2 linked regions of the Macaca fascicularis genome follow. The protein of the gene in region 2 interacts with the protein of the main gene of each other region in a pairwise test. Links are inferred from orthologs where the notes say so. Each region holds a gene or a part of one and is shown on either strand. Other genes may lie near its edges.

Evidence for each region.
Region 1: the proteins of PAK2 (region 2) and RHOJ interact in binary tests that used the Homo sapiens proteins (3 or more experiments, as listed by UniProt). The two-hybrid records come from large-scale screens. The link is inferred for Macaca fascicularis from reciprocal best matches to the Homo sapiens genes PAK2 and RHOJ.

What each region holds. Positions count from the first base shown.
Region 1 is NC_088381.1:131,103,839-131,107,034, forward strand, and holds the end of RHOJ (rho-related GTP-binding protein RhoJ), read left to right. Parts: intron 1-311; coding exon 312-458; 3' UTR 459-2,561; downstream 2,562-3,196.
Region 2 is NC_088376.1:2,236,455-2,240,277, reverse strand, and holds part of PAK2 (serine/threonine-protein kinase PAK 2), read right to left. Parts: intron 3,539-3,823; coding exon 3,342-3,538; intron 1-3,341. UniProt on the Homo sapiens protein: Serine/threonine protein kinase that plays a role in a variety of different signaling pathways including cytoskeleton regulation, cell motility, cell cycle progression, apoptosis or proliferation.

The sequences.
Region 1 (3,196 bases), on a different chromosome or scaffold from region 2:
GATCTTTATATTTTTTATATTCTTAGGAATAAATGGCTATGGATCAATTTCAGGATGTACTGCTTTCCAGAAGTGATCCACAACCATTTATTGCTAATAAAGGAATGTAAGAAATACAAAAATACAAAAAAATAGAATAACATATACAAATTGAAATGAAAAAAACAAAAAAAAAAGGCAAACGTAATCCAAACCACCCCACAAGCTGTTTGTAGGACAGGCAGAAGTGAGTGCTTGTCTGGGCAGTGAGCTGATACCACTGTGCTGTTCTCTTTTTTCTCTCTCATGCCTTTCTCTCTTTTGCGTTTAAGATCGGAGCGCAGTGCTACTTGGAATGCTCTGCTCTGACTCAGAAAGGTCTCAAAGCGGTTTTTGATGAAGCAATCCTCACCATTTTCCACCCCAAGAAAAAGAAGAAACGCTGTTCTGAAGGTCACAGCTGCTGCTCAATTATCTGAGGTTGTCCGGGACCTGCCTCCACCCCACCCAGGCATGAGAATGGCAGCCAATGTCTGCGGCCAAGCTCCAGCCAAAAAGGAGGGCACGACCAGAAAGGAATTCCCTTTGCACGGAGGCTTGCCCCTCCACCCTGTGAGCCCTCCCAACACAGCACACTAGTCAGCCCACTGCCACAACCTCCCTGCCAGCCAGAAGCGTCCGTACTGCACACTCTCTGAGAATGCTGGGCCTGGATTGCAGACAGTGCCGCTGCTGATCAGATCAAAAACAAAGTCAAAGGCCTTTTACAAATCCCCAGCTCATGAACGCGAAGCTGATAGGAAATCACCCCAGGGAACCGGAAAAAGAAAGTTGGTTCCTCTCTTGGTGGCCTTACTTGATGTTTTACAAAACTTGGGACTACAATACTAACCTTTTTTTCTGAATCTGCTGTTCTACCCATGTGTCTCACATTCATTTGTATTATTTCAAGAAATGTACTAATTTCCAGTTTACTCAGGCCTTACAAATCCATACCAAATTAGCCTAAAGACAAGGCATTTTATATTCATTTCTATTTTCAGCATGTTTCTACCAAAGCTATTAGAATCAACACGTACCTCTGAATGCCTGATTATAAGAAGACATGAGAAGACTTAAAAGTTTTGGAAATTTACAGAGCCATGATTTTTGAACCTGATTGAAAGAAAACCATCTGAATTGTTGCAGGTCCACATTTTTGCCAAAGATGCACTCTACAAATGCTTAGTAGTGGCCTGATTTTTTTCCATATTATATTGCCATGACAAACTAAAAATGAACTGTGTTTAAGAATATAGTATTTCTGTTTTTCATCCAAGTTGATTGGGGGAAGAATATGGCAGGATCCATCTTTTCAGTATTGTGTATTCAGTAAAGTGGACGTTCCTGCTCTTCCCTTTCCCCATTGCATGCCTCTTCCTCCCTTGATTTCACTTTCTCTCATGCCCAGATCCTTTTTTCTCCCCAGTTATAACCCAGTTATAAAAGAAAGATCTGAGCATAAAAATACATGTTTAAAAATACCTAAAGGTAAAGGAAAGTGTCTTAATTTTTCTATTTACTTCAACTGAAAGGCTTCTAAGCTCGCCCCATGTAAGTTCTCATTCCATATCAGTGGATACCAAGCTCTGTATCCATTTGTCCCCTGCCCTCCACGATGTGTGACATAGAACACGGACTTTGGTCCTGGGAAAGCAAAAGCTCGCAGTAAGGAATCCTGTGCCAAACCATGTACAACAATTCCAAACCTCCAGGAATGTTTGTATCACAGAGCAAATTACTTCCTGCCTTTTCATTAGCGCCTATCAGGGCTTCTAATTAGTCTTACTTGCTTATAAGTGCCCTGGAATCATCCAGGTAGGAGCTTAATTTTTTTCAATTGCATGAGCAAAGTGCTTCTTAGTAGTATGAAATTACAACAATTTTAGTTTAAGACTTTCCAGATTCAAGCTCCCACTGTTGGAAAAAACCAGCCTTTCTAATCTCTTCTGCTATTGGAGTAAGCCCTTAAGAACTGCGTGATAGCCAGGCACAGTGGCTCACGCCTGTGATCCCAGCACTTAGGGAGGCTGAGGTGGGTGGACCACTTGAACTCACGAGTTCGAGACCAGCCTGGGTAATGTAGTGAGACCCTGTGTCTCTATAAAAAATTAAAAATTAGCCAGTTGTAGTGACACACACCTGTAGTCCTAGCTACTCAGGAGGCTGAGGCAGAAGGATCACTTGAGCCCAGAAGGTAAGACTGCAGTGAGCTGTGACTATGCCACTACACTCCAGCCTAGGTGACAGAGCAAGAACCTGTCTCAAAAAAAAAAAAAAAAAAAAAAAAACCCTACATTTCAAGTACTATTTCCCTTCTCTCCCATCTAATTGCTAAACATTTTCTTTCATATGCATACACTCCACTGACTAGAAAACGGGAGTTTTAAGTCAAAGCTTGACATTTAGAGAAAACAAGGACTTTCTGCCTTTATAAATGGAAATCAACTGTGTATGAACTATAACTCTGCAGAGGTGATGAACTCATCCTTTACAAACAATAATGAGTTTTAGTCCTGTAATAAATGAAATGTTACTAGGCAGCTTTGTTGCATGATTGCATAGTTACATCTTGCTAACGGGCCACTCGTTTCTCATTGACATGGATGAAAAATTGAGAGCAGTATGTTTCCAGGTGTGCGCACTCGACAGGCAAATAGCTCCCCAGGTCATCGCTCCCCTAATGGGCCACAGGAAGTAAGCTGATCATGATGGGGAGATCACTCTGTCACCCAGAACCAGCAACTGGATAGAGACTGTGGTTAGTGTCTGGGGGGAGCACAGGCTCCCAGGGGTCTTAGGAGCTAATTACTGAATAAAACAATCAAAAACAAAGCAACCTAAATAAGTTCATGTCATTCTGCCAAATTAATCAGTTATTCCTTGTTTCATGGCAAGATCCAGTTTGTTTCACTAAAAAGTGTTTTCTGCTATAAGATTAAACTGTATTCTGAAACCAAAGATAAGAAGAGACATAGAGGTCAGGCACAGCGGCTCACGCCTGTAATCCCAACACTTTGGGAGGCAAAGGCAGGTGGATCATGAAGTCAAGAGATCGAGACTATCCTGGCCAAAATGGTGAAACCCCATCTCTACTAAAAATACAAAACTTAGCCAGGCATGGTGATGGGCACCCTGTAATCCCAGCTACTCAGGAGGCTGAGGCAGGAGAATTGCT
Region 2 (3,823 bases):
CTTCGTGGATTCACAGTGTCTTCTGAGCAGCTGGGACGGAATTCTCGTCTTCCTCATCCATGTTGCCTTTTTGGTAATTTGTGCATTAGCAGTTATGCCCATATGCCTGTGGGCCAAGGTGGTTTTTTTGTTTTTGAGACAGAATCTCTCTGCCGCCCAGTTTCAAGCAATTCTCCCGCCTCAGCCTCCCGAGTAGCTGGGAATACAGGTGCCCGCCACGATGCCTGGCTCATTTTTGAATTTTTAGTAGAGACAAGGTTTCACCATGTTAGGCTGGTCACGCCTGACCTCAAGTGATCCGCCCACCTCAGCCTCCCAAAGTGCTGAGATTACAGGCGTGAGCCACCGTGCCCGACCAAGGGTTTTTTTTTTTTTTTTTGCGGGGGGCGGGGGATCCAGCCTGGGAATGGATAGTCACAGGCGTGCAGAAGATCAGCCCATCTTTGGAAAGCTTCTGGATCTGCTGATAGGAGCTGGCGCTGGTGATTTCACCAGTCTCACTGGGGTTCAAATATACCTTTTTGTCACAGTGAAGGCCACTGGAGGCGAGCCTCTTCTGAAGCCTAAGCGCACTCCTGGCTGTGGGCGCAGTCCTGTAATATTCTTCAGCTTTGTACAGGAAAGCAGTTAAGTTACTTGGGAACAGATCCCGTTGGTCTTCTCTCTCCCATGTAGACTCCTCTTTCAAAATACATCCAGAATCCCACCACTTTTTACCACCTCCGCTGATACCGTCGTGGTCTAGGCTATCATCACTGCTTGCCTGAATCATTACATCAGCCTCCTAACTGGTCTTCTGCTCTGCCTTTGCCTTCCTCAAGAATCTCTCAACAAAGTAGCCAGGGCAATCCTATTAAAACCTAAGGAGACCAACTTACTCCTCCGCTCAAATCTCTCTAACAGTTTCCCCATCTGGCCTCCAGTAAAAGCCAGAATCCTTCCAAGGGTCTCATAAGGCACTACAGCCTGGCCTGGTTTCTCTGCAGATCGACCGCCACCTCTTGCTGTTAGTTCAGCAGAGGCCAGCTATGCTGAGGTCCGTCATCACCTCTTGATACACCAGGCACGCTCCTGCTTTAGGGCTTTTGCACATGTTGTGCCTTCTGTTTAGAATCCTTTCCCCTTAGGTAAGTATCACTCTCGCACTTCCTGTGTCCAAATGTCACCTCACCTCAGTGAAGCCCTCCCTATGCATGCTTTTGATTTAATTTTAAAATTTATTTTTATTGTATTTTTTTGGAGACAGGGCCTAGCTGTCACCCAAGCTGGAGTGCAGTGATGTGAGAACAGCTCACGGCAGCCTCATCTTCCTTGGGACCAAGTGACCCACCCACTGAGGCGGGATGGTCCCAGTTAGCTGTGACTACAGGCACACACTAACATGCTTGGCTAATTTTTAAAATTTTTTTTGTAGAGATGGGGTCTCACTATGTTGCCTAGGCTGGCCTTGAACTCCTAGGCTCAAGAAATCCTCCCACCTTGGCCTCCCAAAATACTGGGATGACAGGCATGAGCCACTGTGCCCAGCTCTCCAAGCACCTTTTGAAAGTAAACGCCCTAACCTCCTTCCTGCCAGTCTCAGCACTCAAGAGTCCATTCTTCAATATATTACACATTATTCTGTTTATTTGGTTTTTCTCTCTTTTCCCATTAGAATATAAGTTCTGTAAGAGCAGGAATTTGTGTGGGTTCTTTTAGACAGCCTTTTGAGTAGTGCTTAGCACACGGCAGGTACTCAAATCAATACTGGCTAAATGAATGAATGAAATTAGAGGACTTTAAACGTCGTTCTGAAAAGTACCCTAATTAATCACCTCTAGAGAAGTACTTTAACTGCGCACATGAACTGGAATCTTTGGCAACGGGATGAAAAGCATTCAGGATACAGAGGGCCAGAATCTACTGCCATCTGTTACTCAGTTTCTTTCACTTAGCACCATACTTTGAAGGCTCAGTGCTGCAACACAGATTGGCACTTCCTTCCTATGACCAAATAATATTCCACTGTTCAGCAGGTTTGAATTATTTCCATTTTTAGTGGAAATAATTGAGGCTGCATGCAGGCTTTTGTATGGATGTATGATTGTAATTCTCTTGGCTCTGCTGTCTGTACCCAGCAGAGGAACTCTTAGGTCATCTGGTAATCCAGTATTCACTTCATACAGAATTGTCAAATTGTTTTCTAAGGCAGATGTACCATTTTATATTTTGCAATGAACAAGGGTTCCAGTTTATCTTCTCACCAACATTTATTTATTTATTTATGGAGACAGAGTTTTGCTTTGTTGCCCAGGATGGAGTGCAGTGGTGCGATCTTGGCTCACTGCAACCTCTGCCTCTCGGGTTCAAGCGATTCTCTTGCCTCAGCCTCCCAAGTAGCTGGGATTACAAGTGCCCACCACCGCACCCAGCTAATTCTGTATTTTTAGTAAAGATGGGGTTTCTCCATGTTGGTCAGGCTGATCTTGAACTCCCAACCTCGGACTCCCAAAGTGCTGGGTTTACAGGTGTGAGCCACCGCACCTGGCCACCAACATTTATTATTGTCTTTTTGAGTGTAACAATTCTAGTAGTTGGAAGTGTTATCCTGTTGGGGTGGGTTTTTTGCTGTTGTTGTTTTCTGAGATAGAGTCTCACCCTGTCGCCCAGGCTGGAGTGCAGTAGCTCTTGGCCACCTTGGCTCACCGCAACTGCCACCTCCTGGGTTCAAGCAATTCTCTTGCCTCAGCCACTGATTGTTGAGGTTCTGATTTACATTTCCTTAATAAGTGATAATGTCGAACCACATATGGTAATTTAAAAGAAAAAGAAGTGGCCAGGCACAGTGGCTCACACTTGTAATGCCAGCACTTTGGGAGGCCAAGGTGGGTGGATCAACTGAGGTCAAGAGTTTGAGACCAGCCTGACCCAACATGGAGAGACCCCGTCTCTATAAAAATACAAAAATCAGCTGGGTGTGGTGGTGCACACCCACAGTTCCAGCCACTTGGGAGGCTGACGTAGGAGGATCGCTTGAACCTGAGAGGTGGAGGTTGCAGTGAGCTGAGATTGCGCCACTGCACTCTAGACTAGGCAACAGAGTGGGACCCTGTCTCAAAAAATCTTAAAACATAAAAGAAGGAGAAGGTTTAGAGGCAGGTGCTCCAAACTTCCTATGTAAAACACAAAACAATACAGCTTACTACTAAAAACCTACCAAGTCTTCACCTAGCACATTAATTTGTGACTCAGAAAGCAAATGATTTTCAGATGAAGAGTTAGGGGCAGAGACTAGGTTTTATCAACTTTCTACTTTAAATTCAAGAAAAATATTTACAAGGCTGGTGTTTAATTGATCTTACCCTCAAGGGATTTTCATTGAGGTATGGAGGCTCTCCTTCTACCATCTCAATAGCCATGATACCCAGAGACCATATGTCGACTTTGGGGCCATAAGCTTTCCGTGTAACCACCTCTGGTGCCATCCAGTATGGGGTTCCGACCATGGTACTGCGTTTGCTCTGCTCAGGGGTGATCTGGGCACAGAAACCAAAGTCAGCTACAAAACAAAACAAAACAGAACAGAGTTAATGGTTTCCACAGATCGTTTTAACAAAGGAGTTCACTTCAGATGATGTAATTAATTATATTTTGACTCTTCAGCCTCTTGTTTTTAAGGATTTTATTAATAAAGTAAACCAGAATGAGTTTAAAAATATTTTCATGATGTAACACACTCTCACATTTTACTTTTACTTGTCACAGAGTCCAAATTATCAGGAGGCCTTTTATTCTGAATAATTCATTCTCTCCAAAAAAACCTTTTTTTTTTTTTTTTTTCCTG